Coturnix japonica: one gene and its partner. The protein of the gene in region 2 interacts with the protein of the main gene of each other region in a pairwise test. Links are inferred from orthologs where the notes say so. Each region holds a gene or a part of one and is shown on either strand. Other genes may lie near its edges.

What was found.
Region 1: the proteins of KLHL40 (region 2) and C2H7orf31 interact in a two-hybrid assay, tested with the Homo sapiens proteins (2 studies listed by BioGRID and IntAct). The two-hybrid records come from large-scale screens. The link is inferred for Coturnix japonica from reciprocal best matches to the Homo sapiens genes KLHL40 and SPMIP4.

What each region holds. Positions count from the first base shown.
Region 1 is NC_029517.1:29,089,064-29,095,823, reverse strand, and holds the start of C2H7orf31 (uncharacterized protein C7orf31 homolog), read left to right. Parts: upstream 1-2,231; 5' UTR 2,232-2,289; intron 2,290-3,840; 5' UTR 3,841-3,849; coding exon 3,850-3,980; intron 3,981-6,662; coding exon 6,663-6,760. UniProt on the Homo sapiens protein: Microtubule inner protein (MIP) part of the dynein-decorated doublet microtubules (DMTs) in flagellum axoneme. May serve to reinforce and thus stabilize the microtubule structure in the sperm flagella.
Region 2 is NC_029517.1:1,780,648-1,787,407, forward strand, and holds the start of KLHL40 (kelch-like protein 40), read right to left. Parts: upstream 4,370-6,760; 5' UTR 686-4,369; coding exon 1-685. Other genes in the region: HHATL (protein-cysteine N-palmitoyltransferase HHAT-like protein), read right to left, coding at 6,041-6,162. UniProt on the Homo sapiens protein: Substrate-specific adapter of a BCR (BTB-CUL3-RBX1) E3 ubiquitin ligase complex that acts as a key regulator of skeletal muscle development.

The DNA of each region.
Region 1 (6,760 bases), about 27 Mb from region 2:
GGGACACCTTTGCCAGTCCTGGGTTGTAGAGTAATGGGAACAAGTAGTCAATTGGCCACTGGTGTAAGGAGCCAAAAATGTGGTCAAGACCTCACATACTTATTAATGTCACCTCATTTCAGCTGTTCCTTTCTGATTTCCACAGTGTTTCAGAAATAGATCTGACTGTGATGAAGTTATTCTCCACATTCTTGAGGTCACAAGACGGGTTGGCAGGAACCTCAAGATAAGTTTAACAAGAAGAACAAAGTCCTGCACCTGGTAATGAAAAATCCCAAGTATCACTACTTGCTGGGGGTTATCCAGATGGAAAGCAGCTTTGCAGATGAAGGCCTGAGGGTCCTCATGGACCTCCTGTTGAACATAAGGCAAAGAAGGCCAATAGCTAATCTGAACAACATGAGAAAGAATGTTGACAGCAAGTCATCTCTCCTGGGAAGAAAGGCTGAGCTGGGACTGTTTAGCCTAGAGAACATTTGTGAGGAATCGCATCAGTGTATTCAAATACCTAAAGGGAATCTCTTTTCAAGTGGTGCCCAGCAACAGGACCAGAGGCAATGGGCACTAACTGAAAAACAGGAGATTCTGAGCATCAGGATACACTTTTACTGTGAACATGACTGAGTATTGGCACAGGCTGCCCAGACAGGTTCTGGAGATACAAATCAGTGTCCATGGTCTTGGACAGCCTGCTCTAGGTGACACTGCTTGAGCAGGATTTGGGCAGAGATCCCTGCCAACCTCAATCATGTTGTGATTCTGTGATCTTGTGACATCCATCTTTCTCTAATTCTTTCATCACATCAGCACAGAACAATCCCTGTAGCCTAGTAAGGGGGCAATAAAAAGAGGTCTTACAGACCTTAGTTCTCTCAAGCAGCTGTCTCCCAAAGAAACTCACTAACTTGCAGATACAGGCGGGAGATGATCGCATTGCAGAGATACAACCAACTTCTTGGCAGGCAATGACAGGTTTACATGCTGGGAGATCTCTTCTATGTGAGGATTCAGAGGGTACAAGTGATGATCTAAGATATTTTACCCCCAGCCAGCACACCCTCCACAAAAACAAATAATGAATGTCATTCCTGTGGTATCTTAAAATCACAACTCTAAATCTCGCATGGAATATTTGGAAGCAAATAATAGAGTTTTTCAACAGTTGAGTAATTAATGAAATGAAGGAAAAGATTCTTCTAAGCCTTTCCATACGTTCTGGTCTAGAAGCATGAGAAAGAAGCATTAAAAATATTATTTTTCGGAATATATTGAACTTGTGAACTCTGGGAATTACTGATAGAGCTATCACACTTGTACATAGCAAAGACATTAATGTGCAGTTCCCTTTAATGTGATGGCCAAGCCATCCACGTTAAAAACAAACCAGTGTTCCAAAACCATAATAAACCAATTACCAGCTCCACTGGCTTATAACACAACAGTCCATTTAATGGGTATTCAGAAAACCTATTTATGTATTATCACTTGCCAAAAGCCTTGCTTCCAGCTTTTTTTTCCCACCACTTTTTTCCATGGCAAGTAGGATCTCCAGCTAATTTTATCCTGCTTGGTGAAAGAAACAACAGAAGAAAAACACTCTCTTCAAACACATCCATTTATTTTGACCATAATTCAACTCAAACAAAAAACAGACTGAGAGAAAAGAAAAGGTCAGCAGAAGAAAGTAAAATAGATCAAAATCTATCACCATGTCTGTCAAGCACAGGTATGCAGAAACATCCAGCAAACCAACTAACCAGAACCCATAGTCCATTGGTTCCAGATCCAACTATTTTGAAAGACAGTGTGAAAGTCCCACAAAAGACATAAGCAAAGGGTGTTGTTGTCTCTGGGAATGGAAATAAGATGTCATAACTCATAGATGACCTGATGCCGTGCTGCTTGCCTCGTGTTAAGTGTTTTAGGCTCAGCCAGTTTAGGAAGAATTTAGTAACATCCTTACAGCTTCATTCAGTCCTTCCCAATTATATTCAGCATGGTCAAATTTTCTTAGTGAAATGTATTTTGGCTTGGTTTGTAGCTGTACTTACTACTTCATTCAGGATAGGTAAAACATATCATCAGCTACTTGTATCTCAGACCCCTGCTCCCAAGTATGCTGTGGCATCTCCTATCCCTTCATGCTTTAGGCACCCAGCTGCTAACATCACCAGCTGCCACACTGCAGGCATCACTTCAGAAGATCCCCAACATTCTCTCATAGTGATGTCAAACACTACTAGAACACAGACCAGAGCATACTCACACTGTGTCACACTGAACAAGAAGGTAGGCTTAGCCTGTGCTTTTGCTCTATGATTTCCATCTAACCTTTTCTTCTGGATACAGACAGACATGCTAGGGAAAAGAGGGACTGATCCTCTGCTTTGGAAGAAAATCTCTCTGGTGTTTGCTAAACACTTTATTTAAAGGATTATTACATTCAGAAGTTAATTTTTATACAGATATGGTTCTTCAGATTAGTTTTGCTGTATCTTCCTGCCTTCCTAACTGGTCTTCATAGCTTTTTGTAACCTGAAGGCTCATAGTGAGATGATTTATTGTCTTAGCTATGGACTTCTGAAAACTCTGAGGCTGAAATGTGAAGGATTGTGCTTCCTGCTTTGGAAAAGAAATAACCCTGGAAACTAGTGATTTCCTTTTGAGCTAACTTATGTAAATGATTTCCCCTGAATTAGGAAGGACTTGAGATTTTGGTCCTGACAGTAGGTAGCTCCACCTGGCTTATTATTCCATTATCTCCCTCCTAAAGCTATCCTTTTCCATCCAATGACAGTCTTCTAGCTTTGGTGGCCTCACTGAGCAATAAGACCCTTGGTTTCTCCTATGGAGGAGCTGAGCCAATTTTCCAAGCAGCAGAATAAGACAGAGAATCGTGTCCTTCCACACACATTAAACTATGTCTAGAGTGTGGTGTTTGTAGGTATAGAATAATAAATGTCTTGGGTTGGAAGAGACCCTAAATATTATCCATCTCCAACCCCCAGCCCACCCACCAGCTCAGGCTGCCCAGAGCCCCATCAACAGCTCTGAACATTTTTCTCTTCGCAAGGCAGTAGTACTTGAATTTGAATCATCTGCATGAGATCCCTGTAATGCTCATGTAGATACCACGCAACACTTTGGAAACTGACAACAAGACACACATTCATTGTGATTTTTTTTAAAAAGTAAGGCGTAGATACAAGAGAATGTTCTGGTGGCTCCTATTGGAGGAGGAGAAAGCAGTAGTTCTTCTTCATACACTTTATCTAAGATGTTGCTGGTGCCAGTGGTATCAACCAGAGCTTTAACAAGTAACAAGAAAAAGTCCCATTACTTTTCACTTGCACACCAAGTGTTGAAATACATACAAGTGACAGGAGCACTGAAGTACTTCCCCTCAGCACACAGGTAGAATGACAATTGTGACAACTAGCAAAAAATTCCTATGAGAAATTCTGAGGAAACAGTATCACCTTTTCCATAGTGGGACTGGAACTTTACATTGAATCCAAATGATCACAAGTGAGACATTCTGAGTGCAACTCCAAACATCCTTCGGCCATCACTTGGAAGTATTTTCTATCTCCTGCCCACCAGTAACACAAAGCAACTAACAAAGCATCTTTCTAATCTGCCTCTCAGTTCTGGTTTGTTCTATGACCTGGTAGAAATGACCAATAGCTGTAGTAAAAGCAACAGTCACTCCCAGTAACTAAGTCTACACAACCAAAATATGCAGAAATCGTGTATGTTCCTTATTTAGCACCTGTATGCACAGACATATTATTATGATTATTTAGCATCTTATCCCTCTGTCCTCCCCTACAACATCAGATATGAAAAATGATGTTGCATGACCTGCTCCACTACCACAGAGAAACGGGAGGAAACACACTCTTACCGAGAAACTTTGAGTCCAATGAGGTACTGGCTCCACTTCAAAGTCCTTCACCTCCAAGTGACTTTCAAGACAGGTAAGAACAAAATTTACATGGAAAAATGATTCCATTAGAAGCATTTAATATCCAACTGTTGTTACTAAAAAGTATTTTTCTAAGGGTTGTATTTTTCTGGCATATTCTTTTCTTTCCATTATAGCCTAATGCTATGGTCTGTCAGTTCTCCGGAAAACATGATTATAACTGAAAATATGTTATGTTGTGGTTTTAGGGTTCAAATATCTCTTGAAATAATTTTCATGAAGAATAAAAATGACATGTATATTGTATTTCCAATTTGGGGAAAAAAATGCCACCCAAAAAAAGGAGCATATTTCATAAACGAATCATCAATGTTTATCATGTTCTTCTTTGATCTAGTCCTGTTTTGAACCCTTTTTTTCTTAAATCACAGATTGACCTGGAATTACTGAGATAAACTTTAAGATTAAAATTTAATGACAGGAAGCCTGCAGTTTGCTTTGGTAGTTATTAACATGTAGTAAGAAAGTTTTTGGAACCAGTGCATTATTCTACTATTTTATGGGCTAGTTGAACTGTTAGCTGGGGGTCAGCATGCGGCAGAATGCCAAGAGCTTTTAAATGTCTGTCAGTCTGAATCTTCATGGTGCTCCGCACTAAAGGCAAAATTATTTTTTGGATCTACATTTCTATTTATTTTTTTTTTTTTTTGGATAGACAACAAATTCAAGGGTTGGATTCAAGTCTGTCACCGTTTTCTGACATGAGAGTTTCTCTCTGTTGTTAGAATATTTCATTCTGAGTTTTCATGTAACATACAGGGTTCTGTTTTAGTACTATTGCTGACTTATTCCACTATTTCTTGTGTTCTGAGAAAATTGGATTTCAGGTGCTTTTTAGCTTAGATTACCTCTATTATGATTCTAGAGACTGAGTACTGCATTATACTCCTGATGCATTTCTGGAGCACATCTTCCAGTTAATTCCATCCACAAGGAACCCACTTCATGTACTCCAAGCCAAAGCACTGCAAAATAGAGACTATTAAAAGATTCATGTCAGAAGTGCACTCCTGATGAAAATTAAAATGCCTGTGCCAATGGATCCTATGTACGCTCATACAGAATTGAGTCCTAATTCTGTCCCTCTAAGAAAACATTTTCCACAGATCTGGAAGCTGCTGGCAGCACATTTTCGGTGGTGTTTGCTTCGTGTCCTGATCAGATCAGTTACTGGCATCCTTCACAAGCTCACAATCTAAGACACTTTATTCATACACTTTGGTTTGAGCCTCATACAACAAAAAGAAATTTGAAGGCAAAAATGCAACTTTTCTAAAACAAAAAAGGTGCCTGCAAATAGATGTTCTGATACCAGAACATTTACTTATTTTTCTTTCTAGCTAGACAGTTATAAGTTGCCTGGCAGCATTCAGAATACAACTAGAATCATAGGTTTCAGTAACAGAAAACCTGTATTAAAACATTGGCTATACTTCTGAGATGCTGAATGAACAGTCCTTTGTTCACAGTATCTTCTTTAAAAGTCAGTCTATCTGAGGCTGCAATTGATTTTCTCTGGGCAGAGACACTGTTTCTCTGTGTCCTCAAAATCTTTAATATCACTGGATCAATATTAACTATAAATATTTCTTTATAAAAATGAGACTTGGAGACATTTTAAGCTTAACAGAGCCTTGTTTGGGCTGAATGAGCATCACATCAGGGATCTGTATGCAAAATGCTTCATCCTACTGCTTACATAAAATGGCTGTTATGCTAATTAGGTTAGCAGCCAACAGGAATGATTTATTAATGTTTCCAATGAGGGTGGTTTAATGAATACAAATACCACAGCCATACAGATGGGGCAGTGTCTGCCTGACTACTCTGAGAAAGTGGAAAGGAAGATTTAGGAAGAACTTGAGAAAGGGATGCTTAAGTTCCTTCAGAAAGTTTAGCTTTCTGATAATCCACTGACTACCAGCTTTTTATTTTGGCTCATCCTATAACACAAATGTATTGTCCCTTGCATAATGGCAAAACCACAGAATCATTAAGGTTGGAAAAGATGACTAAGGTCATCTGATCCAAACACCAACCCATCCCCACCATGCCCACTGACCATGCCCCTCTGCCACATCTAAACAGTTCTCAGACACCTCCAGGGACCATGATTCCACCACTTCCTTGGGCAGCCTGTTCCAGTGCAGTACAACTGTTTGTTTGTTTTGGTAGATATTTCTTTTTTCCTTCTTAAAAGTCTAAACACACAGCAAAAGTCAGGATTGGGTCAATTTCTCTTTATATTTTAAAACATGCAGACTTAGGGTTATTATTCTACCTTTGAATCAATATAAGACTAGTCACGCACTTAGGAGAAACTTTCACCTGAAAAACACGGTACGCCTGATTTCAGCCAGTACTCTCCAGGTATAGTTTAATCCAAACACTCTCCCCATCTGGCTCCAAAGTAATGATCACTATTCCCAAGAATTAATAACATCTCTGCATGTATCAGCTTCTTTCTTCCTCGTACTGATCAAAACATAATAGATTTGATTCAACCTTTGCTGACAGTTGCCAGTCATCACTGTACTTCTAGTGCCAGTTCATTACAATAGCGTCACCCAAAATAAGTCTGAGTAACTGAGTAATAAAACCACATTTTCATTGTTGGAGAAACCACCACCATTGCTGTTGTAAAAGGATTGTTTTGGGGTGTTCTTTCCTTCAGATATGAAGAGTTCGGGGAATCCTTTCAATGCTGCAAGCTTCCTGGGGGAACAGAAAGGGAGCGTGGAGGAATTGTTCTGCCTGTATTGCCAAAGGGCC
Region 2 (6,760 bases):
GCATGAGGCGGAAGCGGATGCTTTCAAAGACAACAGGCAGGGCCTTCTGCCGGCTCTCCTGGTCCTTGGTGCCCACCCACTTCATCACCACTTCAAAGACATTTTCCTCCTTCTCAGTGTTGAGGGAGTCATTGGAGATGATGGCGATGAGCTCGTCGGGTGAGAGCTGGTAGAATTCCTCATCACGGGAGACCAGTGCAAAGCGATCACAGATGAAATCCCGAGCTGCCACAGCCAGCCGGGCACAATCCAGCATCAAGCCCAGCCTGAAGATAGCCAAGCAGTTGCTGAGACAAAGGCGCTTCTGCAAGAAAGACACACAGACAGTGAAGATGGAGGGGATCTGGAACATGTTGGCCACAGAGAAGATGTCCTGAACATTCTGCTCTGTGATCTCCAGCTCGGAGGTGTAGATGTAATGGAGGATCTTGCCCATGACATCTGGATCGACATCTTCCAAGCTGACCTCCCTCTTCTTGCTCTCTTCCATGTCTGAGAGGAACATTGCCCGGAAATAGGGGCTGCAAGCTGCCAGCACCAGCCGATGGCAGGGAAACTCCTTTCCCTTGACTTTCAAGACACAGTCCAGAAACTTATTGTGGTCCAACATGTCTTTCAGTCCATCCTGGAGGAGGGTTTGCTGGTAGAGACGCAGTTCTTCCACTTGATCAAAAGGCAAACCCATGGTGGAGAGTAAGAACTCCTATTTTTTCCTAAGCTTTCTTTTGAATCTGTTTATGAATATATCTTTATGTGTGCCTTTGGTAAGGAAACTTTCTCAAAGCAGGGCTCGCAGGTCTCCCTTGCTTCCAGCCCGTCAGCACTCTGGGAATGTGAAATGCTCGCTACTATCGCAGCTGTCTGTGTACTTCAGCTTCCAGCGCAGGGCTTTATATATAGCCACTACGTTACAAAGCTTAAGGAATCCATATTGGAGCATGTGTAAACCGATCACCCTTTAATATGACACACTGGGCAAGGGGGGAAGGGAGGGGACTGGAGGAACAGCTGTACTTCAGCCTCGATGCTTCAGGAACCATCTTTGAGCCGATGAGTCACCACGTCCTCTGATGGAAGGACGTGTGCAACCCTATGACACCTCCACCACACTTGGGAAATGTCCTCCAGATGAATCAACCACCGTAATCTGCCTTTTGGGACATGGATGGCAGGGATGAGACCTCTGATGCTGCTAAACAGAACGTTCCCAAACTGCTAAATCTTTTGTGGTGCTAAAAACAGGCCGTGAATCAAAGATGGAAAGATGCAAGAAGGGGAAGTCCATGTGTTGTGGCATCCCTGAGTCCAGCTCATCCCCAGGGCTGTGCAGGTTTGTCCTTTCTTCTCCTCTGGAGTCAGTTTTCAAGGGTCTGGAAGGGGATGGGGAATGAAGCACAAACATCTGAGGCAGAACTAACTTCAGAGACCCCAACAGTGAGCTTCATCTCACTGACCGAGACACCTGAAAGCAGGTATTTACTTGTGAGTTTGGGGGTCTGCTGAGGTCTGCTGGGATTCAACCCCCAAGCTGAAGCCTAGAGACAAAGTGGGACAACCTGGCCAGCCTTCAGTGTGCAATGCAGAAGAGCCAAGGGCTCTGCCAGGTCCTGCATCCTGCTTGGATGTCCATGGACATTGTAGAGCCTCATGGGGCCTCAGCTGGATGCTCCAGGTCCAGCTGTTCCCACAGAGCTCTCAAGGAAGCAAATTGGTTTGGGCAGACCTAGGTGAGCAGAGTAACTATGATTGTTTATAATTATGGTAAAACTTCTACAGGAGTCTGTTTTATCTCCGTTATTATAGACCCTTTGGGCTTTCTGACACTCAGAGATGGCACAGATTTAATTAACAAATTAATTAGATCTATGCAAAGCCATTAGCCGCACTCTTCTTAGTGTATTTAAAGCCACATAACCCCTTGCTCTGGCATGTGTGTGTTGATAAGTATGCTTTGTGACATGATGGTTATCTGAGTAATGAGGGAGGGGATGGCACTAGATAAAGCCGTACTGGTGATGTTCCAGCAGCATCCCAGGCAGTAATATAGCAGGGCTATAATCATGTGCTGATTTCAGCTCACATCATCAGTTCAGAGACAGGACCGGAGGATGAGCACTGATCTTTCAGCTGGCTCATCCATCAGCAATATTCATTTACTCACAGATTCCTGGGACTGGACTGACCCATCCTTCCCCTTCCTTCCTTCTGCATTATTGTTCCACTTTTCCAATGTGGTCACACTGTTGTTTATAATTATCGTGCCCTGCCTTTAATCTTCCCTGAGCCCTGATTTATTTTCCTTCTCACCATGCTGCTCAGTGGGTGCTGCCATCCCAGATTTCCTTCCGTGTTCCTCACATCACGAGATGCTCTCACTGCTCATCATAAGGTAATAGCACTAAATGCAGTGAGATCTACCCGACATGGCAGCCCCTATAGAAAATACAAACTAATGTTAGTCTCTTGCCTATGTGGGTGATTGGAAAGAGGCACTGGCTCTGGCTCAGGTAAATAACCCACACTGGCAAGGGCAGGAGATAAGTGATGGGCTCAATGCCATCAGCAGCAATGGCTCCGTGAGTGCAGGAATCTTCTGACCCACCTTTGTGTGCGAGTCTCATCACTTTAGAGATTGATGATGGACTGATGGAAAACAGAGATATCTCCAAGCAAACAGGGCTCAAAAGCAGTTGGTTAGAGTTTGCACTGACTGTAGATGGGCTTTTTCTCCCCTTCAGATTTCACCCTGCCATAGGCTTCTCTGGCAGCAGAAGTCATCAGTTTGCCACCATTCAGGGAGATGGAAATCCCTGGGATGGGATGACTACTTCAGGACAAGGTCTGCTGTCATCTGAGAGTTGGATTTTGATTGCTTTCACCATCATTCCCTGCTTTGGCAGGGAAACCAGACTCAGACCTCCTGTCCAAGTGTGGAGCATCCCTATTTTTGAATCCATGTGGCAGAGATGGCCTTTACCAGCCTTCATTTTGCTCTGTAATTAAGTCAGCCCATTCCAGAGTTTGGTGAAAGAAGACCTGGATTAACCATCAAAGGTTTGTCTCTCCCACCCTGGAACTGTTCTTGAGGCTCCCTATGGCCACAGAGAGTTGATTCGCTTTTGGGAGTTGATTCCAAGTTGGACAGTTGCCTGAGGTGAGAGGACTCCACTGAGGTCCATCTTTCCCCATTCACTTAAATCATGAATTCATCCTAGATATCCTTATGTGTTCCCAGTGCCTCCCACCCCTGGCAAAGATTGATGCCATCCTCATGAAGGCCTGTGGCAGCACTCACACCTGTGAGCTGGGCAGTTATGAGTAGCTCTCAGCCAGCTGACCCTAGTCTAATGGAACTACAATGAATGAGTGGCACCCAGTGACCAATGGACTAAGTCAGTTGTCTCCAAGTGGGCAACAGTCACCCCACTCAGGATGAGGGTGAGTAAAAATGTATGTAAATCATCCTAAGGGGATGAAATGTAGGGGGGTTGTTCTCTCCCGTACAGATTTTTAGAGCAAGAAAGGTGAATGCAAGAATTATAGCTGTGTCAGGTTGAAAAAGGTGCCTAGAGTTGAACTACTCATCTGGATTTGTAGTTGTAGTAAAAATTGCCTTCCTTGCTATCACAGCCAGGCAATAACAAGGTTGGATACTTTCCCCAGTGGTATATGCTGAAGCTGAGGGTCTTCTACATAAGGCTGAGCAATGAGATGTGGCTGTAATAGCAGTGCTTTGGTGCTCCTGGCACATAGGATCCCTTTGGGCTTCTAACAGCAGTGATAACCAAGGGGATACCTTCAGGCAAAGGTGGGCAAAGTTCTCCCACGAGCTGTTCTGTAACAGCTCTACCAGTGCCTAAGATTAGCTCTGACAGCTCCATTAGATGTAGCTGCTGAGTAAATTTAGATCCTTAGTGAATGGGTTATTTTCTCTCCCAGACTCTCCAGGCTGGGAGGGCAGTGCAGAGTCATTGGCTTTGCCATGTGAGTCATCTTCTCCAACACTGGGAGGTGGTGACTCTGTTTCCCTTCCTGTGCACATGGGGCTGCCCACAAGGATAGAGCCCTTGGACCCTGCAGCTCAGGGAGGTTCCAGCTGTCTGCAGACACCTGCATAGGGGAGCAAAACTGGATTTTACACTAGGAGAGGGCACAACATATCACAGCTGAGTGGCACCTACCAAAGGTCCAGCAGCAGACCTCTGTTTCAAAAAGATGTGCTTGGCAGCTGAAGGGGTTCTATGGATGTGACTGGAGGTGCAACCAACACAACACCTTACTGCCCTTCCAACATCTGTGGCCAGGCTCCCAAAAAGAAAACCCACATGACTTCTACCTCTAAATCCACACAGACAACAGTTTTACAGCAGTAGGCTTGTAAAATTATACCAGCACGGCAGTAGACTCAAAATACAAATGAAGCTCCAGCCACACATCACTGGCTTCAATCTGATAATGACGAGTGGGTCTCTTTTGAAGTCCTTAGATGTCAAAATTGCAAACAGACCCCTGGATCTCCCAGTTCCCAAGGTAGCACGTCGCCCAGGGGTCATTGGAATCACAGCAACACAACATTAACGAATGGTAGCCACCATAGATGTCCAACAGTTTTTTACTACATAAATAAATCATGTTTATCGGGGACTTTGTAAATCACTTTGGCAGAGCTGAAAGCTGACAAGTTAAACCATTCCTGCTTCATCCACTGGGAAGTCACCAGAACACCAAGAGTCTCAACCCGTGTTGCAAAGTGGTCCAGATTCTACCCTCACCACACATGGACGTCATTCAGACATAAGGCCACTGAAAGCTTCTGTTAAGTGCAAGAGAGATGGATCTATTTCCAGTTATAGACCCGTCTCCTCCCCAAGGCACCATGGGGTCATTTATTCAATGCACTTCCCATGCAGTGCTCCAAAGTCTACTTCTCCAAGGAGGCTACCAGGCACTTCCCCTCCACCACCCAACCCCAAAGTGCTGCCCTTCATTTGGTGCTTTTCTCCTTTGGTTGTATGCATGTGTGTGTGTTCATGTAGCACAGGCCTAGGCTGTGTGCATCAAAGTCTGGCTGGGTGGCTGGAGATGGGCAAGAATTGGCTACTGAGCCCTCAGCCACAGGCAGGAATGTGAGCTTAAACCTTTGCCCATGGCATGCAAAAGAAGCTGGGTGGTACTTGGTTTGAGTCCCTGGGCATGTGTCACAGCGAGGTGGTTGTGGTGGCCACATCCATCGCACAACCCACAGCGAAGGGTCCTTTGTGGGGGCTGAGCTGGGTCTGGGCTGAACTTTGTCTGGTTGAAACTTTGCTGTTTCTTCCACATGCCCACCCTGCAGACGAGCAGTACATGATGTGCTCTGGCTGTGAAGCAGGCATGCCTCCTGTACTGCCACTGACTACACCTGAGGCTGGCACTAAATCACTTCTCAAGATGCTTAGGACTGAAGGGACCTGTTTTGAGATACTAACAGGCATCACTCTGCACTGCTGACAGCAGTGGGAAGACAATTACTCTTCCCTGTGCAGTTCCTCAACCTCTTTCCCTTTGCTATAAAAGACTGTTCTATTTATTTATTAGCCTCTTGGTAGGCGTTCATTGTGCTGAGCCATTTCACAGTCCTTAATGCACAGCCCCAGATGTTGAACCATTTACGGTATGTGATGGCCATTTCTTGTAGCAAAAGAAAAATGTGATGCTTTGGCTGGAAGTGACCTGGAGATGGGAGACCTGGGCTGCAGGTCCTGTGGGAGAGCCAGATGCTGATGGATTGGGTGTTATGGGGAGCAGAGGGTGAAATCTCTAGGTCTGCATGGTGTCAAAGGGTCAGAAAAAGGATGGAGCCTTAAGGATGTGTCTTGGAAGCCTATCTCAGCTGTCTGCTACGTGTGGGGTGGCATGTGCCTTCCAGATGACTTCTCTATAGGTGAGTTACAGCAGTCTGATTGCCAAGAGCGCTTGGAGAGCCCTTTCCAGCAGCTGGCTTGGCAGAGGCAGTCAGAAGGGAGTCCAGGCTTTGGGGCAAACCAACTGATGTCTTCCTCTACTCTGCCTTGGGTTTCTCACTCTTCTCCTCTTCCATGGCCAGGATGCGTTCACGCTCTTTGATCAGCTGCACTCCACAGTATGTGATGAACCAGATGGACAAGGTGCTGACAGGGAAACCTGGAAGGTGGAGGGAGACATGGTCACTTTGGTGTGCTGCTTCATAATGGGGCCAACTCTTCTCTGGCACCTCTGCCCCTCGGGTGGGCATGGGAGGTCCTCGGGTTCATGGCTAAAGTTGTTTTCCTTTGTGGATCCAAACCAACAGCTTCACAGAGAGAGGAGAGAAATCCCCAGGGGTGGATTTTAGATGAAGAAGTGCCTAAATCAACAAGGGCATTCTGGATCACAGTTAATGCTGTGGGAACATGCTGGAGTTTTGCTTTGAGCTCTCCCTGATGTCCAGACCTGCTTTGCCTGTTGAGTTCAGACTCAGCAGTTGTCTTTGTGCCCACGCAACCTGCCATCATTCATCCCTGTTCAGCACTGCAACCTTCTAGAAGCTTTGGACCCTGCTGACACTGAGGGTTAACCTCAGCTTAGTCCCATCCCAGTGTGGGAACATGCTTTTGTCACCTTGATAAGTAACAAGAGCTGGGAGGATGCCTTCTACTTAGGAAGGGCCCGTGGGTGTTTGTAACAACAAGCTGGGTATCCACAGCAGATAGGAGGCATAGGCTTTGTACCCGCTAAAAGAGGACTTCTGCAATTAATAATG